Linked DNA regions of Pelodiscus sinensis. The protein of the gene in region 1 purifies or fractionates together with the protein of each later gene. This does not show direct contact. Links are inferred from orthologs where the notes say so. Each region holds a gene or a part of one and is shown in the gene's direction. Other genes may lie near its edges.

Region 1 (15,665 bases):
ATTTTGGTCAGAAAATGTACACCTCCACCATGCTCCAGCTGAGGACCGCAAACTACTCAGCCTTACTAGCCCATCATGATTTTGACAATTACTCCAAATTGGCAGAGCTTATGGAACACCTCTCAGATAGCAAATGACCAGTCCTAAGGGCTATAATCCATGAAGGCCACACAATTGCCTGTACAGCACTTCAATCTTCACGGGATGTCAATAACACTGCCACTCATGCCATGGCAACAGCTATTGTGATCCGAAGGGTATCATGGCTGCAGGCCGTGGGGGTTCCCAAAGAGCTGCAGAGCAAAGTGGAAGATCTGCCCTTTGATAAGCACGAATTTGACACAAAAAAGATGAAGTCCTGCACAGCAGCAAGTACTCCTGCATGACTTTGCGCACATTCCTTTCATCACAGACATTACACACCCTATAACAGGCACAGAGATGGGTCATGTAATCGACCACAACACAGGGGCTACAATTACAATTGCTCCAGGTCATGAACTCAGAAGAAACGTCCCTCACAGGGTCACCCTTCTGGTTCCCAAGACATAAAACAGTTTTTGGTTGAGGGTCTGCCCAACCTCCCCAAAGATTCAGTGCCTTCAAAGCACTACCATCTTTTTACCCACTGTTTGCACCCTTTCTGCCATCATTAGGAATCTATAACATGGGATCAGTTGGCACTGGAGATAATCCACACAGGTTATGTCATATCTCTGACTTCCCTCCCCTCAACCCTACCACCTACACCATCCCGCTTAAGGGACCCCTCGCATGAGCAGCTTTTATGACAGGAGGTCGATCGACTGCTTCACATCAGAGCAATGGAATGGGTGCCCGATCCTTATCAAGGCAAAGGATTTTATTCCAAATACTTCCTTACCCAGAAGAGAATGGGGGGATGGAGACCTAGCCTTCATCCAGGTTTTTTTCAAACATTCTCGCAGTGGCTGCAGCCTACCTCTGCAGGCAGAAGGTCATCATTTTTCCATATTTGGACAATTGTCTCATAAAAGGATGATCCCACAAGGAGACCACCAACATGCTTCACAGGCCAGGCAATTATTTGAACATCTAGGCCTTCTCATAAACAAAACAGAAATCCACATTTGAGCCCACTCAGTCCCTAGAGTTTATAGAGGCTCTCCTAGATTCAATATCAGCTCAAGCATACCTACCTCACCATTGTTTCACAACTTGATCAGCATTCTATCTGCAAGCCCTTCCACGACAGTCCTTACCTGTCTCCAGCTTATGGATCATATGGCTGCTACAAATATGTGTTTCAACACAGTCATCTGCATTTCCGTTCACTTCAACATTGGCTTGCTTTGGTTTATATCCTATCCCATCATCCATTGCACAAGACGGTAACCTTACCATGTGATGTTCTCACTTCACTCCGATGGTGGATGTCCCCAGATAAGGTTATCTGCTGGGGTTACCTTGCTGGGATCCCTTTCCACCAACCCAAGCCATCAGTGCAGATCACAACTGATGCTTCCCTACTGGGATAGGATGTTCATCTACAAAATCAACTGGCTTAGGGCAGATGGGCACCACAAGAGGCCAGATTGCACACCAACCTTCTCAAGCTCAGGGCTGTAAGGAATGCCTGTATCCATTTCGCCCCCACTATCTGCAGCCAAACAGTTTGCATCTTCATGGACAACATGACCACAATGTTTTATATAAACAGACAGGGAAGTGCATGCTCCCGCTCCCTGTGCACAGAGGCAATTTACCTATGGAACTGGTGCAAACATCACTAAGTCACACTCAGGGCATCAGACCTACTTGGGATGAGCAGTACTATGACAGATGCCCTCAGCCACTATTTCTCCACAGATCATGAGTGGGAACTGCATCCTTGGGTCCTTACTTCAATTTTCTGACAATGGGGATTCCCATTGATAAATCTATTTGCATCACATCTCAACTTCAAGTGCCCCTAGTACTACTCCTGGAAGGGGCTGGGCAATGAATCCATGGGGGATGCCTTCCTGGTGATGTGGAATGCACCACTTTGCTATGCTTTCCCCTCCGATCCCTCTTATCCCAAGGGTTCTGCACAAGATCCGTTCAGATGGCACTTGAGTCATCTTGATAGCTCCCTCTTGATCCAGGCAGACTTGGTTTCCATACCTCCACTGCTTGTCTCCCCTACCTCCATATCCTCTTCCAGATTGCCACGATCTACTCTCGCAGGAACACGGGACAATTCTGCATCTCCAGCTTCACATTCTTTCCCTAAACACCTGGCTGCTGTCTGGTTCCACAATTCCAAAGTTTGCTGCTCTGAACAGGTGAAGGATGTTCTCCATAGCAGCAGGCTCTCCACTCACACAACCTACCTCTACAAATGGAGGCACTTCTCCTGGTGCGTGCAGACTGATCAACCCTCGCACATCTCTGCGTCATAGCCTCCTTGATTATATTTTTGAACTAAAGACTGGAGGTTTGTCCATTTCATCTCGAAGGGTTCATCTGGCAGCAATTACAGCTTTCCATGAGACACTTGAAGGTTTCTTGGTCTTCACGTGCCTTATCACCAAAAGGTTCCTTAAGGGACTCCAAAACAGGGCCCCATCACATGTATGAGACTTGAACTTAGTGTTAGACTCCGTGACACGGCCTCCTTCTGAGCCTATGGTGACTTGCTCCCTTCCTTTCCTTTTCACAAAGGTAACATTTTTAGTCATCATCACCTCTGCCTGGAGGTTCAGTGAGATCGGGAATCTGATGGTGGACCCACCTTATACAGTTTTTGCCAAAGACAGAGTTACTTTACAGTCACATTCTACTTTTCTCCCAAAAGTCTTTACTTTGTTCCATATCAATGAACCAATTATTTTACCTGCTTTCTATTCAAAACCACATGTATGTCGTCAGAACATCATCCTACATACATTGGATATCTGATGGGTTCTCAACTTTTACATAGGCAGAATGTGAGCTTTCCACAAGTCTTATCATCTGTTTGTTTCCATCATAGAATACTTGAGGGGTATGCCCATCTCTGTCCAATGCATCTCCTACTGGATATCATCATGTATGATGTGATGTTACACTTTATGGAATAAGACTTTGCCAGTGCCACCAAGAGCACATTCCACCAGTGCTGTTGCTTCAACCATGGCATTTCTTCATAATGTTGCCCTCAAAGACATTTACCAGACAGCCACCTGGTCATCCGAGCATACTTTTGCTAAACATGATGCCATCCTACTATCTGATTCTGCATTGGCCACAGCGGTTCTATCCTCAGCCATTAAGTGGTGACTCCAAAGCCCACCATCCAGATTGGTCACTGCTTCGAAGTCACCAACAGTAGAACACCCATGGGGACATCACTCAAAGAAGAAAAGGAAGTTACTCTCCCTGTGCAGTAAAGACTGTTTGAGATGTGTGTCCCTGTGGGTGCTCCACGACCCACCCTCCTCCCATCTACTTCAGAGTACCTAGTTCCACATCTACACCAGAATAGCTGAGGGAGGTGCTAAAATGCGAATGCCACAAAATGCCACAAACGTGAGGTGCTAAGATGTGAATGCCACAAAATGCCAATCACGAATGTGCAGCCCAACTGACAACTGCTATGAAAAACTCCAAATTGCAGCTCCAGGATGACCCATCACCAACAGTGGAGCACCGACGGGAACACACGTTTCGAACAACACTCGTTACTGCACAGGGTGAGTAACTTCCTTTTATGCATTCACTTTACTGATATACTTCTCCCTGCCTTGCACAGCTTCTAAGTACCCACAAATACTGTTTAGGACTACAATAATCCTCATTTAACACTATAGATGCACTTCTGAAAATGTTCGTGCTGAGCGAAAACATGCTATGCGGGGTCAATTTTCCCATTAAAAATAATGGAAAAGGTGGGGGGTTGCATTTCAGGTGGTGGCGGCAAAGTCAGTCTTTTGTTGGTGCTGGCTCATCAACGTCCACATTAGATATCTAGCAACACAAGTCGCCATGATTTGTTAAAATACAAAGATAAACACGTGAGTGAGCGGAGGAGTGCTGTGACCACATGTATTCATCCGCTCATGCGTATTACCACTGTTTTCACCAACTTATACCTCCATGCGAAGTAGTCTGCCACTTGATTATTTTTGCGTTATTTCAGGGACAGACATGTTATTCGAAAAACATCCCCCCCAAAAAATCGTGCTATTGTGAAAACGTGTTAAGTGGACACACGTGTTAAATGAGTAATTACTGAATCTTGCCACCACAAATCTAAATTAATTCTTAGTGATTTCAGTTTCACTTATCTGTAACTGCTATTCATTTTCCTTAGTTAAGTCTACACAATGTAAAGCATTTCAGTTACTTATGCATTTCAGCCCAGAATAATTAGCTGCAATAGAGCAGAGGGTAATCTTTACTTCCCTCCGGGTGTTTCCCTCCTCCACACTCCATTATAAGTGTTTTTTCCCCTCTTTGGATAATCTTAGTTTGTCCTGTTTTTTAATTTCAGGGGGAAAGTTGTGACGTGCAGCACTCTATTAAATGTGTTGCAAATGGCAATCCACTGCTCAAATCATAATTGTCTGTAAAAAGCAAAACCAAAATTCTGACCAGATAGAGCCAAGTTTGGAAAATAATAGCATCTGTTATACTGCAATATTAATAAGCAATAGCTAAAATGAGACTCAGTGGGAAAAAATCAAGTCATAAGGCTTGTTTGGGGGTGTTTTTGTTTTCATATGCAACCATGAAATTGTTTTAATTGGATGTAGAGTACATGTTAGAATATTTCACTCTGTGGTACAGTCAATTTTGCATTACCTCAGGAAAGGGTGTCTTTCTCCATAGGCTATTTAGGAATGCAAGCATTGTAGAAGGTTTCTTTTGACTTGTTAGGGTCAGAAATATGGTACCCATTTAACTATGCTTCACAAATTCTTTCCAGCATTTTTTCCAAAACTGCACTATAAAATGAAAAATATCTATCCTTAGAAAATGCAAGTTATATAAGAACTTAAAATAGCTTTTTGCTTAAAGTTGCACGTATATTGTCAAGTTTTCTAGAAGGCACATAATTAAAGAACAATTAGATAGCACCTTTCTAAAAGTTCTTACAGTAAATAGCACTAACCAATTTTTGTTTGTAGGGTTCAATAAGGTATGTGTATTTCAATGAGATTGTAAATGATGGACTTTTTCATGTTTTACTAGTTCTTATGACCACTAATGTGAATTTACCAGGAAAATGCATGTGATCATTTGGACTGGTTTGCACAAACAATGACAATCAAAGAATAAATTCTAAAATTTGAGAAACAAGTAAAAAAGAAAATTCTACAAAATATCACAAATTCTACAAAAAAGGGGATGTTTCAGATTAGAGAAATTTGAAAATCTGGGACTGAACTTTTGTGAAGTTTAAGTAATCTACTGCAAGTTTTCCTTACTTTTAATTTCAGGCTATGGTTTTTCAAACTTTATACTTCTGTTTGTACAGTTCTAGTGATCATTCTAAATCAACATGTTTTGAAACACTGAGATACATTGTATCTATAAACTATCCCAGTATTTTTTATGTAATAAAAAGTTCTCATACCATCTCATTTAAAGATACTTTGTGCACTTTTACTGAATTAAACCTCAATCTTGCAAAGGGATCTTGCATATGCTTAGCTTAAGTTTATGGACCATGAGTAGCCCCAGTTAGGACCCTTGTTTGTGAGATGACACTTGTTTTAATATGGAAACTATGGTTTTGACATATAACCTAAACATTTTTAAGATAAAATTGGTTTACTTTTTTGTGTGTAAAAGCTGCTAAGTAATAAACAATATAATCACTGTAGTTTCACAAAACCCTTTCGTGTCTGTATGTTAGATCAAAACCTGCCAAATCTCAATTATTTTTAGAAAGTGGTGGTAAAAAAGAGCAACGTTTAAAGTGTCTCTTTTAGAATTAAAGATATTGTGATACATTTTATTAATAAGACATTTACAATGTCCTTAATTTAATTTTAAATCTTCCTTCTTCCAGTTGTCCCAGTTTGAGCCAGCCTTATGACTTAACCTTAAATCTTACACTGTGTCAACCCTGAGCTTTTTCCATGAGGTACAGTTTGAAGTAGAGAGGTTTATTATCCAAATCTAAAGTGTGACCTACTTCTAGAAGTCCAAATTTTGTTAGGGTAAATGAATAGTTTGGAAGATGTTGGTGCTATTTTCCAAAGACAAATAAAATACTGTTGCTATACAATAAAAGAAATATTAAAAGCACCCAACTGTCCCAAAAGATTTTTAACTGCTCCTCTTTCTCTATTTTGTATCCTTTAAAGCCAGAGTGTAGTTACTATTGCTTTGTGCACAGTGTGATCACTATTGCGCTGTCCATGGTGTGAGGTGTGAATGCTTTTTCTTTGTGTGGTCACTCTTGCACTGTCCATGGTGTAATTACTTCTTTTGTGTATGGTTACCACAGCTCATGTGTGATAACTACTGCAATGTGTATGCTCCACATTAATGCCCTATGCATGCTGTACAGCCTGATCTCTGTTGCTGCTACAGAACACTGAGGTGCCAGACATGCAAACAGCAGATCCATCTCTCTATAGCCAAAGGCCCTTTCTGGCCTCCCCTGCTTTTGTCTTTGTGGTGCCAAAGCCTGTGCCAGGTGCTCCCACGCCTTGACATAGGCAGAGCTCCCTGGTGCAAGGTGTGCGCACCATCACTCGGGCACGAGGTAGTGTGCTCACTATGATGAGGTCACGTGATGCAGTCATTTATGTATCACGTGGGCATGTGCTCACTATGCTCGTGCCCCCGCTCCAGACACAGCGGCTAGGCCCCTCTCCTCCCCGCCAGGCAAGATGTAGTCCCGGCTAGGGGTGGCGGAAGGATAAGCAGGCGGCGCCAAACACCGCTGAGGCCCCAGCCGCAGGGCGCGGCGCCTCCTAGCGGGCCTGGGGTAGATCCCGCCGCCGGGTGCCCCTCTCGCGAGAGCCCCCCCCATCGGCAGAGTTATGTAACCTACTTCCCCTCCCCCCCCTCCCTTAAAGGACTCACACCCGAGGTGAAATGGGGTCTAGGCGAACAGGACCCCATCGGGGCTCAGGCCCCCTCCCCCCCGGGGCGCGGCCCCCTCCCCTCCCGCTGGACAATGAGTCCCGTATGCTAATGAGAGTCTCGCGTCACTTCCGCTCTTTCTCGGCCGCCATCTTGGCCAGGGCAGGTTCTGGGCAGGAGGGACCCGGCTGTATTGTCTGCAGGGCGCCCAGGGAGCCCCCCCCCGGCCCGGAGCCTGACACCCCCCCCCTCCGGGGACCGAGCGCAGTGGAGCCGCCACCGCCCCCTCCCCCCGGGACCTGCTCACCATAGGCCACCTCCACACACACTCACCCCCCCGCCATCCAGCCCCCTTTGTCTCCCCCGCGCCGCCGCCGGCTCCGCTCCGCCCGCCCGCCCAGGGACCCGGGCGGCGCCAGGGAGGCAGCTCCGCGCACCCCCACCCCCAGCCAGAGGTGCCGGGGGAGCGCCCGCCCTCCTCTGCTGAGGAGAGCCCCAGGCAGGTAGGTGCGTCCGCGGGTCAGAGCCGTGAGGAGGCAGCCCTCACCCCCGATCCGTGCTGCGGTACAGCTGCCCCCCCCCCCCGTGAACCCCGGGGCATAGCCCCATGCAGCCCGATCCCAGCCGCTGGGCACGAGCCCCTGCCGTCCCCGCACAGTGCAGTGTCCAAGGCGATGCCCGCTGCAGGCGGGCGCTGCGGAGTTGGCGGGTAGCTCCCGCCTCTCTCCGCAGCTGCACACATGTTGAAAGACTTGTATGCACTGAAGAGGCCAGTTCTTCCTCTCTGCTCCGGCCCGCTCACTCGCGTGAACCGGCTGCAGGGACCGCTACCGGCTTCCCCTCTGTCTGCCCAGGGCCCGCACGGCAGATGCAGCCCCAGCCTCCTCCCTCGGTCCCTCCCCACCCCCCGGCGGCGGAGGCTGCACATGGATGTGCCTCGAGGGTGGCTTTCATTGCACGGTCTGCACTGGCGGCGGCGGATGGTGGGGTGAAGTAGCCGAGCTGGATCAGTGAATGTATGGATCCATCGCCTCTAGCATCTCAGAGCTGTCTTTAGCATGCCGCCTGCCTGGTGAAGGTCCCTAATGGCAGAGTTGGCGCTGGAGAGAGGCCGGAAAGCAGTGCTGGCTTCGGTGCAATGAATGGAGACTAGAGCAGCCTCCCCCACTAGCCGGGGTATCTGTCTGCTGGAAAAGGCGCGATTCATGACTGGTCCCCTGAGCAGAACAGTAACTGCAGGCTGGAGTACCATTCACCTACCAACTCACGCTCCCCTTCCTCTTTCTATCCCGGGCCATAGTTACTGTAACCCATTTCTCAGACAAAGGCAGAGGAATCCCTAAAATGTTGCTCTCTGCCGCTCGAGGTTGCACCCTTCTCACCCACCCCATCATACTGCTTTTCGTTTGTGTTTGCAGGCTAAGTGATTTTTTAAAGCACCAAAATGAATGTGACTCCTTTTTTGTATGTGTGTTGGGGTTGCCTTAAATCTGTATTGCATCTGGTTTATGGCCATGGAAGAAAAATACCAGCCCCCACCCAAAATGCACCGCAGCCAATTCGGAGGAAAGGAGAGATGAGTGTTCGAGTCAGTAGGGGGCGCATTCTCTACACTGGGTAAGGTTGCTGCAGAGAGGGGGAAGGGCCCCCAGATGCATGGAGAGGAGCTGCCACACAGCGCCTTCTACAGACCTGGGAAAATGGGCCTATCACAAGTGCTAGTTGCTCTTATGAGCTGACAGCAGCATAGTAAAGGATTTAGTGAACAGAGCAGTGATTTAGAGAAGAATCTGATCACTTCAGTATGTTTTTTTTTAAACAACGGTGACTAAATTGTGTTCTTGGAATCAAATTCTCAGTACCATTCACAATACTACTACTTTGTATTTTCATTCAGTTCATAGGGGTTGAGTAACTCTGTCACTATAATAATCTCAGATCATTTTTTAAGTCGACAGACTACTTGTGTTCAGAGATCACACTGATTAAATGGAAAAATAAGAGAATTAGAGCACGTGGATGACTTCTGTCTCTTGAAAGGCTATACATGGACTTCCATGGAGAATGTAGTAATTATATGAAAACTTGATTATGGGTTTTGGTGCCATCTGCTTTATAAACTTGCATGGCTTTTTCACGCATTGGGAATGCATGGCAGTGATGATGTAGAAACTTCAATGATATGGTGCATTACTAAAGCATTGCCTGCTTTTGCTGTAGACTGAGTAAGCTATGCTTTGCTTGGACAACTGGGATTCCCCCATAATTTTGTTTCATGATCTTGGTTTTAATCAAAATATTCAACAGGCTTAAGACTCTGGAGTCTTTTAGAAAAATATGATAGAATTTTCTTAGTTTATGCTGTGATCTTTCCATTAACTTTATTCATATTTGAACTTTGAGGAGAGGATTATGTTTAGATGAAGAAGTCTTGTGCAGCACAATATGGCCTACTGAAATACTTTCAGATTGAAATGCCTGACTCCCTGTTAGCAACAGTGCTATTTAGGCAACCTAGGTCACAGCTGGACTATCAGGAAAAACTGAACTTCCACTTGAAGAGGATTGTAACTGTAACAGCTATGAAGATTTGCTAAAGCTTAGTATCAGTTACTATCTGTCCCAATAAAGAAAATGGAGCATCCCCTTAAAGTCAGTTGTTTTTAAAATAAAACAAAAACATATTAATACCTCACACTGTTTGTAATATATATTTACAGACGTTGGGTAGAAATTTAGTATCAATCAAATCCAACCAATATCTTCCTTACAACATTTAGTGAAGTTGGAATATTGTACAAAAATGAAAAGAAATATACTCAGTTACTACTAAAAATTGCCACTTGAGGATGATTCATTGTAGCATGGTTGTTAAATTTTTGCTGAAGATGCTTCCAGTATACATGAAGATAAGCCTTAGAATGGAGAAGATGTCTTTTTGACACACAGGTGATAACATGTTCCTACATAGAAATACTTAGATATTTAAGCAAAAGTATTAGGCTTGTTTATACTAGGGGTGTCAATGGTTAATTGGTTAACAGATAGCCTGGCTAGCTCCCGGAAGGTGGTCTTCCAGCCTGGCAGGAGCAGACCCTGTATGCTGCAGGCAGGGGGTGCTCCAGTTTGACTGGAGCAGCCCCAACCCGCAACTCCACTGCAGGTGGGCAGGCTGCTCGGTTTAAGCAGTTAATGGGTTAAACATGACGTTTAACTGGTTAACTGATTAAAACATCCCTAGTTTATACTTGTGAATTTATTACGCTTGATACGGGTTTTAACTGCTTTTTTCTAAATGTGATTTTGATCTGTCCACAGTAACTTTTATTTATTATATGCTTGGCTTTTCAGCATTTAAAAGTGATCGACATAGTTTACCCATTCAAAGTTTAGAGTCAGCTTTAAGAAGCTAATGCACTCTTGCTTTCACGTCTGAAACAGTTGTGTGTTTAATATCGAGCATTTCAAATACTGACTCACATTTATAACTCCCAAGGCCTGCTGACATGAGAATGAACTATAGAAAACTACTTCACTTTTTCCCCAATAATGCCTACACTTATCTTTAATACCTTAATGTGTATTGGCCAATACTACTACAGTTTTTTTTTTTTTTTTAAAGTAAGAGCATTTGTTTTATATGTTGGGAAGTAAATAGCATTTTGAATGTGTGAGAAAATAGGAAAGGTAGCTTGTACTTGCTCTTAAGAAAAAGGACATGTAGGTTAAGAACAGAATGTGATAGTACTCAATATGTTTGGGGCCAAGGGACCTGCTTTAAAAGAATTTCTAGATTGTTTTTGAAAAGCGTGCTTTGCAGCATTAAACTTCAGCAAGCCATGATCATGCAGCTACTGAATGTGATAGCTAAGGAGAGACAAATAACTGAGCTTTTTGCTCTATGCAGGATTGAAGGTATCAATTGTTAAGATTCCAGCTCTCGAATATTATTTTGCATTAACATACAATGGTGCCTTAAAACATTTTAATTGTGCTAGACTCTCCAGTTTAACAATTGACTCCTAAATTTGAAGGGGAAATTCTAACTAGATTTCTAAGTACATATTCAATCCTCTCTGTGCAAGGTAAGTTGTGCTTTCTGCATATACCAGCATGAATAAGGGGTGGCTATTCCCCAGCTTTAGTACATAAGAGCAATTGCAACCTTTGAAAAAGGCTATTAAAAATGTTACAAAGAAGCACTTCTTGCATGCATAACCATATCTTAACAACATATGGTTTGTCAGAATTAAGACAATGTGTACACAGCCTAAACCATACACTTTATATGACTATTGTTTTTAATGTGGAAGGTGGCATCTGGCTTGATTGGTGTAAAGGAAGAAATTTGAATAAATATAAAATCAATTAGCTTTAGAAGCCAGATTGTCATTTTATATGTATTAATACAAATAGAAAATTATCTTCATTTTAATATATGTGCATACGGTTTGAGAGAGAGAAAACAAGTCAAGATTGGATTGTGATCATCCTCATCGGGATCTGAAATCTTTAGGACTTCATTTTTCATTTTGGGACTTTAACTCAAGTGAACAGCTATTTGATTTAAATTGTTCACCTGTTACGGGTGCGTCTCCACCACACCTGTAGTTCAAATTGCATAGCTTATTTCTAATCAATTTCAAAATAACCTGTTATTCTGAAACATCCCTTATTCCTTGTGGAACGAGGTTTACGGGGTCGTCGGAATAGCAAACCCGTTATTTTTCAAAATGAGTACGCTGTTAAGACGTGGGATAGCTATTTTGAGATACCTTCAGTATCATGAAATAGCTCCGCAGTATAGACATAACCTATATGCTCTACCCAGAGTTTTCGTTTGATATTCACTAGTGCCTTAGAATACTTGTGCCCTGTTAGCTCAGTTGAGCTAGCATTTCAGTTGTGTTAAGTCCTCTTAAAGCTCGTTAAGATGTTGCTGGCCTTTTAGTTTTCAAACATGTTAGCCTGCATGTTGAATATTAGGAGGGCTTTTCAGTTATATTAAACTAAAAGCATAATCTATGCTTAGATTTTGTATTACAGGTTGCTCCTCCAAAAACCGGCACTCTCTGGTCCGGCTACTGGACCACGTATGCTCCTGGACCAAAGAGCCCAGGAGCCTGATGTCAAGAGGGCCACCTGTGATGGGCAGGACAGGGCTGGAGCCACAGCCCTGTGGCAGCCCCCCAACAGCATGGGGCTGGAGTCCTTCGGCAGCCCGCAACAGTGTAGGCCTGGGGCTGGAATCCCACAGCAGCTACCAGCAGCGTGGGGTCGGGGCCACAGTCCTGTGGCAATGCAGTTGGCTGGAGAGCCAGCAGCAACTGGGCAAGCAGCCTGCTAGGGCCAGCAACATAGTGGGGGGAGGCAGTGTGCCTGCTACGGCAGTAGCTAGCCAGTAGCAGGCAAAGGCTTGGGTCCAGTGGCAATGGACCTCGTCTGGTCTTGCAAATTCTCTCCATCAGGATTGGTCAGGTCTCGAGGGTGCTGGGCCAGAGCGGTATGTAGTATAATTGTGATTTTTTTCAACTGAGGTAGCTATACCAATACAACTTTTAGTGTGAATGCAGTTATAGAGATATATATGTATTTATATTGGTAGAGCTTTCTCCTGTTCAGGAAAGGTTGAAAGCTATAGGAATATAAGCACGTTTATACAGATATGTCGCCATATCTATTTAACAGGCCACACTGCAGGCCATGTCTGTGCTATAGTGGCATAGCACAGTACAATAGGTATAGTGCTGTGACCCAGCTGCTGCAGGCTACAGCAGGGTAGGTAACCATTTTTATGTCGGGAGCTGCTGATCTACAGAAAAATCACTAAGGGGCCACTCACAAGTGAGAAGCAAAGAAGGCACAAACCCTCACTAACCTGGCTCCTGACTTAGGAGAAAGATACTCCCCACATTCCTTTTGCACAGCAGTGCCTGGGGCACCTAGCCTAGTATATTTTGTGTGCTTCAGCCACATGGTGGGGTGCTAGGGGGATTGGAGTGCCAGTGCGGGTTCCCCAATGGTCGAGGGGCCCCAGGGCTGGATCCAGGCAACCCGGGGGCTGCATCCAGCCCTGCGGCATTGAGTTCCCCACCTCTGGGCTACAGTAACAGAAGGGATTTTTCTGCTATCGGAATGCCACTTCTCAGAGTGATGTTAGCTGACTTATGCGTGTTTACAGAGAGTTAGATTGACATAACTGCATTGATCAGGGGATAATGGATGGCTATAACTAGGGATGTACAATTTTTAAAAAATTATTAAACCGTGTAACTGATAGAAATTCAGTTACATGGTTAACAGTGGCTCCCGGCAGCCCTATGAAGAGTGTAACTGGTGCCATTGATGCTTATTGGTTACTAGGGATGTTAAATTGAATGTAATCCGTTAACCATGTAGCCAACAAATATTTTGTCTGCTACATGGTTACCCAATAAACGGCTCTGCATTGAAAGTAGCTTGGGAACTAGGGTCAAGCAGGCCAGTTCAGTCTTGACTTGCACTGGTGGTCCCAGCAGTTACCCTGGCTGTGGCTTTGCAAGAAAAGTTATTTAGGAGCTGGTGGTCAGGCAAGCTCCTAAATTACTTTTCTTGCATAGCTGCTGTGACCTGGTGTAAGCTGGGACTGAGGCAGCCTGCTGGCCAGCCCACTAAAAAATGTATTTGCAGAACCTTGGGGGGGTAGAGGGTGCGTGGAGGAGGAGAGCATCTGATTATCGGTTAATTGTTTAACTGGATGCACTATTACATCCCTATTGTTTACCTGATTACACTTTTAGATCTTTAGCTATAACTGTTACATTGTTTTATGCATGCACAAGGCCTAAGGCATGGTCAACACTTACAGATCAGCACAGCTACATTGGTCACGGTGTGAGAGAATCATGCCCCTGATAAATATAGTTATACTTATAAAATCCCCAGTGTGGACATAGGTGTGTCAATGGAAGAGTTGACATAACTAACATTGCTAAACTACTCAAAAACTCTTCTGTCTGTGTATGTTGTGTGTGCATTAGGGGACTATGCCAACACAGACTCTGTAGTATAGACATAACCTACCTGTCCACACTAGCATGGGGGTTGTACCACTTAACTATACTATACCAGTCTAGGTAAAGTAATACAGGCAGTCCCCGGGTTACATGGATCCGACTTACATCGGATCCCTACTTACAAACGGGGTGAGGCAACCCCGCATTAGCTGCTTCCCCCCAGCAGACCAGGGAGACGCGAAGCTAACGGTCCCCCCCAGCAGACCAGGGAGATGCAGAGCGGCTTTTCTCAGCAGACACCTCAGCTTGAGAATAAAGGACTGAGGGAAGTGAGGTGTGGGAGAATAAAACTGAGCTCTGGAGAAATGTTTGGCTAGAGTTTCCCCTACAATATGTACCAGTTCCGACTTACATACAAATTCAACTTAAGAACAAACCTACAGTCCCTATCTTGTACGTAACCCGGGGACTGCCTGTACAACTTTTGTGTTTAGATAAAGTCTAACTTGACCAGGCTAACGTGGTATAAAAAATGCTCCCTTTTGGCTAATAAATGGATTTGTTCATTCTAGACTTTCAGGAGAATCATCAGCTTGACATAAGATAGCTAAAGAGATGCTTAAGATAAGACTAAAAAAACAAGTTTGTTTATGTATCTGCACAAAGGCCATATGTTTTAAGGAAAAAAAAGTATACTGTTTACACCTTAATTGCATTTGAGAATGGTAGCCCAAATGTGAGGCCCATGTTTGGAGAGCATCACTTTAACCTCACATACATTAGTGTTTTTTGGCTGTTGATATTTTATGGTTTTAAATAAGAGTGGAACAAATGCCATATTCTTCTACAGTGAGTCACTGTCAGTTACACCATTTATATCCTTAGTTTTAAAAAACTTGGCATTAAAAATCATTTGGAAGAATACTAATTTTGGCTGTTGGATTCTAAACTTATGTAATTGTGTGCCTGTTCACACATCAGACTTGTGCATTCTTGATTGACCAGGTTAGCTGCAAAATACATATTTTAAAGATAAAATACTACTACGGTGATGTTTAACATAATCCATAAGAACTAGGGATCACCAAATGAGATTAATAGGTAGCAGGATGTTTTACTTCACACACTGCATAATCAACCTGTGGAACTCCTTGCCAAAAGAGATTGCAAAGACCAGGGTATTAACAGGGTTCGAGAAAGAACTAGGTAAATTCATGAAGGTTAGGTCCACCAATGGCTGTTAGCCAGGATGGGTAGAAATGGTGTCCCTAGCCTCTGTCAGAGGCTGGGAATGGCTGATGGGAGAGGGATTGATTGATGATTCCCTATTCTGTTCACTTCCTCTGGTGCATCTGGCATTGGCCACTGTCAGAAGACCGGATACTGGATTAGATGGATCTTTGGTGTGGCCGTTCTTATGTTCTTAAAACTTTAATTTTTTAAAAAAACCTCCACCATTATAGATATTGAAAGTTACTGCTCTGAGCTGGAGGTTTTGCCTGATTCAGCCAATTATTTAAATATGGGGGTGTGGGATGTGCTTGTAGCCAGGGATTTGTGGTACTGTCTCCTGTTCTCCTGTCCTTCTGTTCCCTGACTTCCAGCTGTTTTCTTGCCTTTACCCAG
Region 2 (15,259 bases), on another chromosome or scaffold:
GTTCTGTGAGATTATTATTAATTTGTGTTACCATAGTATTCAGAAGCCCCATTCACAGACCCAGATTCCATTGTTCTAGGTTTTGTATAAGCACTGAACAAATAGCTTCTATAGTTACTATCGAGGCAATAAGACAGTAAACAGATATAGATGGAATTAAAAGGAAACAATGAAACAATATTGGTCAGTGTGATAGAGTTTTCAGCATACTGGCAGTTTAAGTATTGTCAAGTATTTTGTATGTCTTGTGACAAAAGCAGGTATTTGAAGGAGGATAATGACATTTACAGAGAGCTCTTTCCCAAGTGTGAAGTGGTGGTTGTTGTGATGAGTAAGATAGTGGGCAGTTTAGGGGTAGGCTGTAAAAGGTCTAGAAAGCAAAGAAAAGTAGCTAATGTTTGATGCAAAAGAAAAAGGGAGAAATCAGTGGAAGGATTCAAAGAGGGGGTGACATGACCAAAGTAATGGGCTTAGAGAATGATCTTTGCAGTAGCACTCTGAATGGATCAGAGTAGGGTAAAACTGTACTTTTCAAGGCCTCAGAAAACATGTAATAATTGAGATGACAAGAGACTGAGCAATCGTTCTAGCTGTTTGGATGGGCGCAAAAGGCTATATCTTACAGATGTTATGCAGAAAGAATTTCCAATATTTAGACACAGCCTGGATGTGAGGACTTGGAGAGAGGCCTCCGTTGAAGATGATACCCACATTATGGGGCTGAGTGGCAGGCAGGAAGGTGCTGTTGTCCACAGTGACAAAGACAGAACGGTGACAAATCATTTTAGCCATGTTTAGTTAGGACTGATGGCTAGCCATCCATGGGGAGATATCAGAGATAGGGCCTGGGGTTTTAGTTTGGGTGGAAGGAGACAGGTCTGCAAAAGGTAGATTCATGAAACCTCATAATAGAGTTGAATTTGTGTTTGTAGGCAATTATTCAGAAAGGCGGGGCAGGAGAAGAAAAGGCATGGAAGCTGTTGGGTGTGCTGAAAGAGAATAGATGATTGTTAGGGAGGGAGAATTCAGCAACAGAGAGACCACTGCCTGGAGGCATGACAAGTAAGTGGTCCTTTTGGTGAAAGGAAGAGTAAATTAGGGCTGCAGGCCAAATGAAGAGGTCAGAATAAAGACGTGAGTAGGTCCCAGTGGGATGTGTTGTCAATACAGAAGTTGGAGTCACTATATATGAATGTGGGAGTCTGAGAGGAAAAGAAGAGAGAGCTAGGAGTTGAAATCAGAGGAGAAGACTGATGTGAAGGAGTTAAATTGATGGCAGCTGGCAGCAACATGAGGGGGAGAGAAGAGGAGACAGATAGTTTTGGTCAAAAGAAGGAAGAAGTTGGAAAGGGATAAAAGTTGCTGAAAATGGCATCAGGATCAGAAGAAGAGAATCCTACCACCCTTACCATGGTCTGAGAGTATGTGAAAGAAGGATGGGCCTCCATATCAGGGCATCTACAGAGGCAGAGGCAGACAAAGGGAATGAGGTCTGAGAGAGCCAGGAGCTAGAACGAGTGACAGAGGAAGAGATCCTGAATGACTCTTCTTTTTAGAAATCACAGCAAGAGGAGGAAGGGGGCAGGTGTGAGGTTGGGGATGGTAATGCAAGACGGGTGGAGATGAGGAGTGGAGGGAAGGTCAGAGTTGGGGCAAATGTCACCAAAGATGATGAGGATTTGTATGAGAGACCTAGATTTGTGCAGGCAGGAGGAGGGGAGCAGGTTGGGGTTGGAGAAGAAAAGAGCAGGGATAGATGTGTAGGCAGTATTGTAGAGGGGTCAACATTAGGGATGTTAACTATTGTTTATTTGTGTAAACGTGTAACTGCTGGAAATTCTAGTGGCTACACATTTACACACAGGGATGGCAGGCAGGAGTCAGTGCTCTGGGGGAGCTGGCTTTTAAGCTGGCTCCCTGCGAGCACCGGCTCCTGCCTTCTCTCCCTCCCCACCTCCGCTGTCTCTTATGAAGAGGCAGCATTGCAGGGGTCAGGTGGCTCCATGAGAGCCAATCCGCCTGGGGAGCTGGCTTGAAACCTCCTTCCCATGTGTACTAGCTCCTGCCAGCCCCACTAACCCTCCACACTGCTGTGTATCTATCAGCACAGGTGGCAGGGTGGGAGAGAGAGGCAGTTCTGCAGGAACTGGTGTTCGTGGGTAACTGGCTTTTAAGCTGACTCCCCAGCAGCTTTTAATTTGGCTCCCTGCACATGCCGGCTCTCTGAAGAGCTGCCTGCTTCCCCCCCACCTCCCATAGAGGCAGCAGCGTGGGGGGGACAGTTGGAAGGGGACAGGTGGGCTCTTCACACATCAACCCCTCCCCCCCCGCACTGCTGCATCTCTGGAAGGCAGAAGGGGGGGCAGGTGGCTCTTCAGGATCCGGCTTGAAAGCTGGCTCCCCATGGGCACCAGCTCCCACTCCACCCCCGCCCCATTGTTGCTTCTGTATCAGAGTCACCAAAGGGGGAGTTGCATGCAGTTGATATAATTACATTATAATCATGTAATTGACTACATGCTGACATCCCTGGTTAAGATAACTAGGAAAGGAAGATGGAGCCAGTGGGAGGGGTAGGGAAGAGGCAAGAGGATGAGGATGGGTGATAGCATGGAGAGGAGGGGTGTGATGAGTACCATGGTTTAGTGGCAGATGAATGAGACTGCAAAAATCCCAAAACCAAACACACAAGATCTGAAGGTATGTTCTTGGGACTGGCATGGGTCTCTGTGAAGGATCCTTTGCTGTACAGACAGAGCTCCGCAGTCATGCTCCTTATTGGTTATTGTGGGTCAGGGCCAGTTTATGTAGTGGCTCACTGCCTATTGAGTGCCTGTGTCTACATAGAGTTCCACAAACTGTCTACCTTCCCTGCTTTCATGCCTCATAGCCACAGAATTCTGTATCCTTAAAGGAAATGAGAAATAGTTGGGTCATATCTTCCCCACTTCTTTACCCATGCTGCCTCTGGTGAAGAGGCAGCATTGCAGGGAGCAGGTGGCTCCATGGGAGTGAATACTCATGGGGAGCCTTGAAGGAGTTGAGGAGCGACTGTGAGGACATCTGTAAAACTGGTGGGACTCCAGGAGACACGGCTAGTCAAAAAAAAAAAATTGGCTCTTGTGCACATAATTTGTGTGCACCAGAGGTGGAATCAAATATGGATAAGACATCTTAAAGAGCCATTGCTGTTAAAGGTAAGTAACCATTGTTTTCTAGATCTGTCTCTCGGATTTGGCTTACCTAATGCAGTGTATAATTATGACACATAAATTACTTAGTTTGGTATATTTGTCAAATTGCAAGATATATTTACTGGAAAGCAGAGGATGGACTTGGTGAAGAGTTTTTGTTCTGAAGCTTCAGAGTGGTAGTCAAGTTAATCTGTAACATGAAAAACTGAAAACTAGAAATAGTCTTTAAGGTGATACTAGACTAACAAAACATGTAGATGGTACCATGAGCATTTGTGGGCTAACCTCACAACTTCAGATAACCAGAGTATAATAAGCCCATATCCAAGAATAAATAAGGGGAGGGGGAGGGGGAGAAGGAAAAAGGGGAGGCGAGGAAGAAAAAGGGAAACATTGAGTAGATAGTTCAAATAGTTACAAGAGGCTGTTAAGAATCATTAGCACCTCCATTGTTTGTTTGGTTGGTTAAGTCATTAAAAAGTGGAAGTGTTGGAGCCATTCTATATCCCAGTTCAGACCATTTGCATAAGAATTAAACTTGTGAATGAAGTTAAGTTCCAATCCTTCTCTGTGTATTTGGCTTGTGGAATTTGTCTGAAACAAAACGGTGACTTGGAAATCCATGAATGAAAGTCCAGGAAGATTAAAGTGTTCTCCAACAGGTTTTTCTGTATTGCCTTGTCAGATATCTGGTTTGTGCCCATTAATTCTTTCCTGTTGAGATTGTCCAGTTTGGCCAGTACACATTGCAGTGGAGCATTGCTGGCATTTGATGGCATAGATCACATTAGTGGATGTGCAGTTAAATGAGCCTTTGATTGGAGAGAAGGCTTGGAACTCAACCTCATTCACAAGTTTAATTCTTATGCAAATGCTCTGAACCGGGATATAGGATGGCTCATACACTATCTTCCACCTTTTAATGACTTAACCAACCAACTAACCAACCAATGGAGGTGCTAATGGTTCTTAACAGCCTCTTATAACTATTTGAACTATCTACTCACTGTCTTTCCTTTTTCCTCCTCACCTCCCCTTTTTCCTTCCTTACTCCCCTCTCCCCCTCCCCCTTATTTATTTTTGGATCTGGGCTGCTTATACTCCAGTCATCTGAGGAAGTGGGTTTTGCCCACGAAAGCTCATGATACCATCAACATGTTTTGTTAGTCTTTAATGTGCTACTAGACTATTTCTTGTTTTTTCAGTTTTTGTTCTGCGCATTCATGTATCCTAAAGTCGTGATCGTTGTAATTTGATGTAGAATTCTGAATTTCCAACTTTTCTTTTACTTGAACAGTAAAAAAAACTTTAAGTGTGTTTTTGTTTCCTCTGGAAGATTCCAACTAGATTGTGTGTGTGTGTGTGTGTGTGTGAGAGTGAGAGAGAATTTAAATAGTTTTACAAATAAACTGATTTATGCAGTTAATTTCACATTAGACTAAATATAGTCCAGATGCCTATTGGGCAATGAAAAGAAAAATTAGGTGTTATGTGTTTTGTATCCTATTCCACTTTTACAGCCTGGTATTCTTCTTTTACTGTAATTTGCACATTGGACGTGTGGTAGCTCTCTCTCTTATTCTGGAAAAAAAAATTTGGTTCCTTTCCTGTCATTCAGTATGTTGGCTAATATTCGAAAAGAGAATCCTCTCTCTCCACATCCCAAACAGCCAGATTCTTAGCTCCCAGTCTTTATTTCCTTGGCATGGCCTAGAATTGGCTTTTATTGTTTATAATTTAAAAATACATGTGATCATTGGAGAGCATAGCTATTGAATTAGGAGCATAAGACGCAGGCCCCAGGACAGGTGCAAAGAACTTCCCTAAATGTCAATCACTGACCAGTATAGTAGAGTTGGGTAGAGAAGGGAGGGCTTGCCCTTAAAGTTTGAAAGATGCATCAGGAAACTAGAAAGGATAGCCTCTGGTAGTGTGTGAGGAGCCATAGAAGAAAATAAAAGTGCTGATCATTGCCATTTTCCTTTGAAGATTAGAAAGTCTTGCTAATCTAGAGAAGATGGATTTTGGGGAGATAGGGTGGATGGTTTCCTCAGTTATACTTCATTGTGCTTTAAGTTTATAAATTGTACCTACAATATTAAGTTACCTATAAAATATTTAATGGACCACATTACTAGAGCTGTATTTTTTCATTTTGAAAAATCTGTTTTCAAAGAGCAAAATGGCATAACTCCAGTATCAACCAAAGAAAGTATCAAGTTACTAGATATGTGTCAATATGAACTGAAGAAAGAATTTTCGTTTGGAGCTTAATGGAACGTCCCTTTGAAAAATCCCAAAAACATGACAAACGTCAGCTAAAGTGAGTTAAAAATTTCTTAAGTTGACTGTAGGGAAGCTGGACTTTAAGTTCATACTGAGGCAACATGCTATGGATGTGGAAATTCTCTGTCTTTATGCTCCTGATTTTCTGTGAATTTCAGAATTTGTACTCTTGTACTAATGCACAAGCTGATGTCAAAGTTTGACAAATCTAAGATGTTTTGGTCAGTAATCAAAATGAACTGATTTCTTCCATTTCCTGACCAACAGGGTTGTGACCTTTAGGCACTATAATATATAAAATAACTTAAATTCTATTTGATTAATTTTTCAGTAAACAAAAAACTCTTAGGAATTTTGAGTATTAATGATTTGCACTGTGAAAACTCAATTTCATACTGCCAATAAAAATCTGTAACCACTGTGAGAATAAGCCTTATGTGTGACTGCCTGTTGATTGCAGCAGCATGATCAAGCAACTTGAAGAGAAATCATGTAATAATAACTACTGAAAAGAACCATAAAACTTTGATGTACAAGTTACAGGAGAGGATGATATATAAACACAATACTTTTAAAACAGTTTCAGTAATGGCTGAGTGCTAGCTTTATATGTAAGCAAGCCCTGCCTGGATTGTTCTAGGAAAATCTTGTTCTTTCTTAGGGTACGTCTAGACTACATGCCTCTGTCGGCAGAGGCATGTAGATTAGGCTACCAGACATAGGAATAGGAAGCGGCGATTTAAATAATCGCTGCTTCATTTAAATTTACATGGCTGCCGCGCTGAGCTGACAAACAGCTGATCAGCTGTTTGTTGGCTCAGCGCGATAGTCTGGACGCGCGGGTGTTGACATCAAAGGTATTTGTCGACCACCCAGGTATGCCTCCTGGGATGAGGTATACCTGAGTGGTCGACAAATACCTTTGATATCGACACCCACCTGTCCAGACTATCGCGCGGCAGCCATGTAAATTTAAATGAAGCGGCGATTATTTAAATCGCCGCTTCATTTTCCTATGTCTGGTAGCCTAATCTACATGCCTCTGGCGACAGAAGCATGTAGTCTAGACGTACCCTTAGAGTTGCTAGAGGATTCTAAGCCTTTTTACTATTTAAACTTTGACAATATCCAGGTTGGGCTACACAGATTAGGGATGTGAAGGACTAGTCAACTGTCCAATAAGCAAATGCTTCCCCCCTGCCTTGCTGCTCCTATCAGATGGAGGCAGTGAGAGGGGTGCTTCAAAGTGGCAGTGCTGCACAGAGCCCAGGGTCAGCGCTATGTGGAGCAGGGGATCAGCTGGTGATTCCCCAGCTGACCCCAGACTTTGGCGCTTTTGCCTTTGAAGTATAGTAACAGCCATAGGGGCTGTTGATAAACTTCAGGGGCGGAGGTACCCTATAGATTAATCGAATAGTTGATGCAAAAATGCATTGGCTATTGGATTAGTCAATTACCTGATACTTAACATCCTTAGCACAGATCAGAGGAAGACAGCGTCCGTCCCATTAGCTTAACATGTAAATTCTTACAGAAATCAAAATTCACCAAACTGTTACTGCTGTTCTAAATAGGGTTGTAAAATTCTGGTTAAACGTTAAGCTAACCTAACATTGAACTAATTAAGCAGGATCTGGGTGGGGGACCACTTCAACCTAGCTGGGAGCAGCCCCCTGCCCACAGGGCTGCTGGATGCCAGCCCCTGCCAGAGCAGCCTGTCCACAGTGGCGTGGGTCCACCACAGACAAAGGCTTCTCCGGATGCTGGACTGGTCCGCAGCAGGCCCCCCAGTGAAGCTAAAGCTGCCTGCTGCCCATGGCAATTGGGGAGCTGTGCCAGCCCCTACCAGCTAACAGTTAATTGGAACCGGTTCTTACCAATTTAAACTTTCACATTCCTAGTTCTAAAATTAAATTTACTCTAACCTTTGCAGGATATAACTATTCTATCATATTATTAATTTTCAGTATAAATATAAGAGTTTAAAAAAATGTTTGTTCATGGCTTTGAATACTGGTTAAAAGCTACAGTAAACAATACTGTATTTAAAATTAGTATTAGAAAAAAAGCTTTAGTTGAGACTGAAAGGAAAGTTTAGTTCTGAAACACTTAACAAATCCACTGTGTCTGTGGTAATTGAATAGTTTTAATAGTTTTTCATGCTGGTTTTGGGGGAAAAAAAGTTTTCAGTCCTCTGTTTTGTTGTTGTTGTTGGTTTTTTTGGTCTATTCCAACAAATTGTTGGTTAAAGAATTTGACCACCACTTGGTGGCAGTACTTGGCTTCAAAAGGAAAATGGCTTTAATTCTCTTTAAAATTAGAGAGTATACAGGGAATTGTATGTATTTTATTTTAAAATAGGGAAAGACTGATCTGCAAGAGGCTTTTATTTAACGTACAGAAAAGCTTTTCATTTTTATGTCCCAAAGACCATTTTATGGAGAAGTTAGAATATTTAAAATGTATACTTAAAAAGATGTGATTTTTTTTTTAAGTGTTGGCTTTGAGCAATATTTTAACTATAAAGCTTAATAACTGGTATTCTTTTCATTGTATAATAACCTATTGATTACCTTAATGTTTTACTTGTATTGGGAATGGCATACTTAATGAATTCTAACACACTGTAATTTTGTTAATTTTGCTAAATGATGACATTGTACATTTAGAGAAATGTGCGTGCCTCTGTTTATATAGCTAGTCACTAAGGGAATCTTTAGTCTTGTGATCACTTGTTCATCTATAATATTTCTTTTTATTCAGTCACTTCAATTGAAAGAGCACAATTTATTTTGTATTTTGGAGACTATGGCTCCAGACAGCAGGACAAGGACTACTTTCCTAAGGATATCCCCTCACACTGGTGTAATTGCAGTACTTTTTGGCTTTAAGGGAAAACTGCTTTCAGAATTGCTTGTTCCATGAAGACTGTGTTTGTAGGGTTGAGGTCTGCAGGGATAGAGGACACACCCTTTGCAGCATCCTTACAAAGGTGCCTCCTGTGGGGAGAATTCTCATCCCTTGTAACAGGAGCTGAAATGGCTACCTCTTTGTCTCCTCAACCCCCCAAAAATCCAAACAATACATTGGGTAGACTCCTTTGAAGCATGATAAATCAGAAGGCAGTCCAGGCAAGCTGTCTTGCCCTAGAGGAAGGTAAAAGCCACAGAACAATAGTGAAATTTACAGATCTTAAATCCATGAAATTGAGTAATAATGGAAAACATGAATATTAGAAATATTAATAGAAAATGTCAAATTGCAACATAGAAAAATGCAAGTTAATACACTGGAGGAGGAGTAATCCCAAAAAGAGCAATTTAATGAGATACATCTGGAAAATACTAATACTAAAAGAGGTCTAAAGAAGGTGGTGAGCAGCATAATAGGTGTGATGTTCATAGTGACATATGCATAATGGAGAAGATAAAATAGTTATCTCCATACACCTATAATATTTTGTTCACGGGGGGGGGGGGAGTGATTAATATGCTCAGGAGGCTTAACTGCAGCTGCATCTGGTGATAGCATCAGTGGAAATTTTTTAGTAAAATTCCTTCATTTGTATATTGCCAATGTTAGGAGTGGTGTGTGTGAACCTAGAATTTTCTAGGAATTGATAAAATGCAGAGTTTTAATTAAAAAAAGTTGAAAAGGGTGAGAATTTTACAGGAAGGAAAGAATTGACAGCAACAAAAGAATGTAATTTTTGTTTGAAATGCAAATACTTAATAAAATTGAATTGTAATGATAAAAAGTCACTTGTAGCCACAATACTGATCTGTCTGCCAGTTACTCTAGACATAAGTAAAATAAAAATATTGGAAGTGTGAATGCAAGGAGCTAGGTTATAATGAGGAAAGACAGACTACATGGTATATTAAGAAAGAGGATGCTTCAGAATCTCAAAGGCTATGTCTAGACTGCAAGCCTCTTTCGAAAGAGGCTCTTTCGAAAGATACTTTCGAAAGAGCCTCTTTCGAAAGAGAGCGTCTAGACTGCACGTGGAACTTTCGAAAAAGCGGCTTGCTTTTTCGAAAGAAAGCACCCAGTGAGTCTGGATGCTCTCTTTCGAAGAAGCCCTATTTACATTCAAGAACGCCTTCTTTCGAAAGAGGAACTTTCGAAAGAAGGCGTTCTTCCTCGTGAAATGAGGTTTACCGCCATCGAAAGAAAAGCCGCGTTCTTTCGATTTAATTTCGAAAGAACGTGGCTGCAGTCTAGACGCAGGGGAAGTTTTTTCGAAAAAAGGCTACTTTTTTCGAAAAAACCCCTGAGTCTGGACACAGCCAAAGTGAAGGAAAGGAATTTACATAGGCAGAGGAGAACAGAAGAGAGGTTTGGAGGATAAATCAAGTGTACGAATAAAGAAGAGCTATGAAGGACTGAAGTCAGAATTGTCCAAAATGAATCATGGGCTGTGAAGCCTTCTAGTGGGAGATTAAGGAGCTTGGTGTATTTAGGATATTGAAAAAATATTTGATACAACTTGATCATGCTTAGTACATACACGGAAAGAAGATGTCTGATACTAGAGGATTTGGCAGACAAACATAACAAGATCCAGTGGCAGGAAGTTGAAATTGGACAAATGCCTACAGGAAAGAAGGTACAAAAAGGGTTGATTAACCAACAGATTGTTAAGGTTCTTGATAAATTCTCTATCCCGTGGAATATTTAAATAAAGACTAAACGTCTTTCTAGGAGATATGTTCTAGTTCAATCACAAGTTATTGTGCTCAATACAGGAAAAATTGGTTGAAATTCAATGTCTGTGTTTAGATGGGAGGAGGGATCGTACTGAATTGTGATTGCCTCTTTTGGCCTGAAAAATCTGTAAGTCTATTAAATATATAGTGAAGAGAATAAGACTTTATTTTGGAAGTGTCAGAGTTGATGGAGATGAGAACTAAACTTAAACACAAACCAGCCCCAAACCATTTAAGAATGATCAATCTTTCGTGGGGGGGGGGTCGGTTGAGGTAGAAAGTAAACCTTGAATAGACTAAACATTTTTGATACATAGAAAATAAATCATCTTTATTCTTTGTGTGACATTGACATAGAACATTTGAAACTGCTTCATAATTAAATAAAAGCAATATTTTTAAAAATCCACATTTTTATGTAAAAGAGGCTGAATTTTGAAAAAGCACTTTACACCCCCTATTTGAACCAAAATGTCAAGAGAAGGATTAGGCACCTAAATAAAGTGGCCAGATTTTTCAGAAGTGTTGAATTCCTATTTTCTTCAGTGGGCACTGTTGGTTGCTGAAAATTCTTACAAATCTTCATTATAAATACTGAAAAAAATTTCTTTTCTGCCAATAAGATGTTATTTTTGTTAAAATTAGTGCTACTTAGTATTTGAATGGACAAGAAAGCAGGGGGAGACTTTCACAATTCTTTAACATTGTCTCCGGTTCAATGCTTTAGACCTTACCTAAGGCTGAACAAAATAATGTAGTTGGTGTCCTTAAACCAAGCTTCACACCATCTTCGCAGTGGGATGTCAGCAGGAGCAAATGATCCCTTCGGCTTCTCTTACTCCTTGCAAATGTGAGGAGTAATGGCGTTGACCGGGGCCACCCTCAGCGTTCAGTTTAGCGAGTCTTTACTAGACCCTCTAACTCAGAATGCCAGAAGACTGATATCCTGCGCGACAAGTAGGGACGTGGCCTCAGTCTCAACAGTACTTTAAATGTATTTTGTACACATCTTTACATCTTTATATATTTTAGAACTATGGTGTCCAACTAGTTCTGATGCAGTAGCCACTGTAGTTATGTATAACTATATAGCTATATACAGGGTTCACCAAGCCGCGGGGAGCCCTGCTCGCCAGCCGCTCGGTTCGGGGCGCTGCACATGTGCAGACCACACTGCGCATGCGCTAACCGCGCTGCGTTGCTGGTGCCGGCTTGTAATCTACTCGCCACAGGCAAGTAGATTACATTGATTGTTGAGCCCTGGCGCATGCTCGGGCACGCTCTCTCTGTGTGTGTGTGTGTGTGTGTGTGTGTGTGTGTGTGGTGGCTACTGCTTCAAAACGGCTTGGACACCATGGTTGTTGTAAATATTCTGCTATAGCGAATTAGCCACTTGAGGCTAGTGGCTAGCATGTTGGACACCATGAATTTAGAATATTGCTCTCAAAACCTTCAGCCTCTGTATTAATCATTTGGTTAGCATTTAATTTGTTTGATACACATAACACTCTCCACAAAATTTGTGAGTTTCCATGTAATTTCAGTGGGGATCATTGGGAAACTAGATGTTTTAGCAGCTGGATAGAGAAGATTTGGGTGGTTTGGGTTGCTGGGATAAACATATTGGCTGGATGTTTATATTGAAATGATTACCAGTAATGGTTAAAAATGCTGACCTTTGATTCTGAAATCAAATGAGGAAGTTGAACCAATGCAGGCTTTTAAGAACAGATTAGTGCAGGGTTTCCCAATCTATTACATTTCAAAAGGGTCACCAAGTGTCTCCCCAGGTGGCTCTGCCCTCCCCCACTCTCCCCATTTTTGGATTGCCTTAGGTTACCAAGTCTTTCTGAATTGTCAAAATGGGTCCCCTTCTGGAAAAGGTTGGGAACCGCTGGATTAGAGAAACATTTCAGGGATGGTCTAGGTTTACTTGGCTCTGCTTCAACACAAGAGGCTGGACTTGATGGCTCCTTAAGGTCCCTTTCAGCCCTACACTTCTGTGATTATAATGTACTCCATAAAGCTAAATGGAGACTGTTCTCATCTATCTTAGACTCTTCAGACTGCCTGCTATCATGAAAGCTAGGAACAAAACTTCATTTAGATGAAAACTTAGATTTGGAAGAATAGTTTGTCAAGAAGTGAGTTGTGCAGCATATTCAGTAGCAATGAAATACATAGGAAATGTTTTTAAAAGCTGTTTTTCAATTTAGTGTTGCTCCATAAAGGAGTCCTTTTTTAACTTTAGAAAAAAATATCTTGGGCAGCGCAGCTGTCAACCCAAATAAAATATTTTTAGATTAAGGAATTAGAATGAGAGGACTGAAGCAGGAGATACATTAATCAGTCCCCTAATACTTCGATATCCATAGTGTTTGGTTCTGCACTGTAACATGCTCTCATTTTTTTAGTGTAATACCTGGAAGACTCAGACGTATGAGCTGATAGGATTGGATTACAGTGGGTAGGATTCCAGTTTCTATCAAAGAAGATAGTAAATCAATGATATCATAGAAGATGCAAAGTATAAAGGATTAGGATAGGTTCTTGGTGACTGAGATTTCCACTGAGGCTATCTATCCTGCTTGGCCCGACATCTGACAGGAACACATGAACCAGAACAAGAGATCAGACTGGTCTATGCTGGTGAGCCTACAGAGTTCGCTTGGGTAGCTGTTATGACAACAAGAGAGAGCTCTCCCATTTACATTATAAAACCACCTCAACAAGTAGAAGTAGTTATGTCCTTGGGAGAAACTCTTCTGCCAATATAGCATAGTTCACACTGCCACTTATGCTGGTGAAACGTTTGTTGTTTAGGAGAATGTGGTTTTTCCCCCACACTTCTGAGTGGCATAAGTTTTGCCAACATAAATGGTAGCATAGACATGACTGAAGAAAAGACATCTTGGGGAGGGAATGTTTACATAGAGCAGGTGGAAGTATGGCTGATTTATATTGCAGAGCTGTCTTTTCTGGAAAATAGAACTTTATTTTAAAAGTGAAAAAACAAACTAAAATATCATAGAACATTAGAACTGGAAGGGACCTCAAGAGGTCATTGAGTCCAGTCCCCTACCCTCATGGCAGGACCAAGCACTGTCTTGATCAGGACTACTCAACACGTGTCCCGTGGGCCACATGCAGCCCAAGCCCATTTGTTTGAGGCCCATGGTGTGGTTTGGGTTTACTGTGAGGTTTGGGTTGATATGTGCTTTAGTAGTTGAATTCCTGGCTCATTAAAAGTGCTGTCATATGGGTGGAAATTGGATAAATATTGGATGTTATTAATGTTAGTAGAGCTGACTTAAATGGGGCCTGTGTGTTATGTAGTCTTGCCTTAATCTTTGTATTCATGACTGTCAGTGTGAAAGGAGCTATATGCATATATTTGTGTATATATGCACCCACACTTAAGTTGCGGGCCTCAGCATGTGCTCTGAGTATTATTGTGGCCCCAGGGCTTCCGAAGTTGAGTAGCCATGATCTGTATCATCCCTAACAGGTGTCTGTCTAACCTGCTCTTAAATATCTCCAGTGATAGAGATTCCACAACCCCCCTAGGCAATTTATTCCAGTGTTTAACCACCCTGACAGGCAGGAAGTGTTTCCTGCTGTCCAGCCTAAACCTCACTTGTTGCAATTTAACCCCATTGCTGCTTGTCCTGTCCTCATACGCCAAGGAGAACAATTTTTCTCCCCCTCCTTATAACACCCTTTTAGATACTTGAAAACCGCTATCATGTCCCCTCTCAGTCTTCTCTTTTCTAAACTAAACAAGCCCAGTTCTTTCGTTCTTCGTTCATAGGTCATGTTCTCTAGACCTTTAATCATTCTTGTTGCTCTTCTCTGGACCTTCTCCAATTTCTTCACGTCTTTCTTGAAATGTGGTGCCCGGAACTCGACACAGTACTCCAATTGAGGCCTAATATGTGCAGAGGAGAGTGAAGGAATCACTTCTCATGTCTTACAGTAACAAGAGTGTTGTGAGCATCCCAGAATCATGTTTGCTTTTTTTCCCAACAGTGTCACATTGTTGACTCGTGTTTAACTTGTCGTCCATTAAGACCTGTAAATCCCTTTCATCAGTACTCCTTCCTAGACAATCCCTTCCCATTCTGTATGCATGAAACTGATTGTTCCTTCCTTATGCACCCACCTTATAGTAGCCCCATCTAGGTTGTATTTCCTTAGTTTATTGATAAGATCATACGAGACCGTATCAAATGCATATGTATATCTCCTTTATCACTTCTCCCTCAAATGTACACTACCTCTGTACACCTTAGATTCATGATGTCCAACTGGTTCTGAAACAGTAGCCACTATAGTGAAGAACTAGCCACACTAAACTGGCCAAATAGCTTCACGTGGCTAGTGGCTAGCATGTTGGAACCATGGCCTTAGATGGTCTGCATTATACCTGTACTGGACAAATTGTTTTCTTGAGAGAACTTGAGGGTTTTTGCTAGTGTGTGGTGTTTTATCAGTTTCTGACAAATACCACACAAAAATACAGCTCACATTGGTAATTAAAAAAAATAGGAGGAATGGAAGATTCCTGGCTCTGTGTTCTGTAATACATTAATGTGGCTTTTAAATTATTGAAATTTATACTAAACGGATGTCTCTGCAATAGTAAATGGAACTCTGAAACTGAGTATGTAATAAGCAAAAACTTAACAGCTTTAATGAGTGTTGAATCACAGCTAGAGGAAACTGCTGGTTATTTTCCACTGCAAAAATATATTCATTTTAAAGATAGTCATGTGACAAAGGTGAGTACTAAACAAGTTTCAGTGCAGAGAAGCAAATTTCCTGTTTCTGAAGTTTCACTATTTGAAACTGAATCCATAGTATTGATTACCTTGAGGCTCTCTTACCTTTACAAATAATTTGATTTTTTTTAATGGGGCATACACAAGACATCTTTAAGTTACAAATAATTTGTTGTTTTTACAGTAAAACGATAAAGGTTCTGACTTTGTTGAGATGGGAGCAATTGTACTTATTGTGAAAAGTTGCTTTAGCTGGACTTAGCTAGATTTTGTCTTTTCAAACCTTTAG

What was found.
Region 2: the proteins of ADNP (region 1) and ZNF644 purify together in Homo sapiens (affinity purification with mass spectrometry; 3 studies listed by BioGRID and IntAct, with this or other methods). This does not show direct contact. The link is inferred for Pelodiscus sinensis from reciprocal best matches to the Homo sapiens genes ADNP and ZNF644.

Annotation. Positions count from the first base shown.
Region 1 is NC_134728.1:18,563,983-18,579,647, forward strand, and holds the start of ADNP (activity-dependent neuroprotector homeobox protein), read left to right. Parts: upstream 1-7,178; 5' UTR 7,179-7,547; intron 7,548-15,665.
Region 2 is NC_134719.1:33,386,881-33,402,139, reverse strand, and holds the start of ZNF644 (zinc finger protein 644), read left to right. Parts: upstream 1-9,599; 5' UTR 9,600-15,259.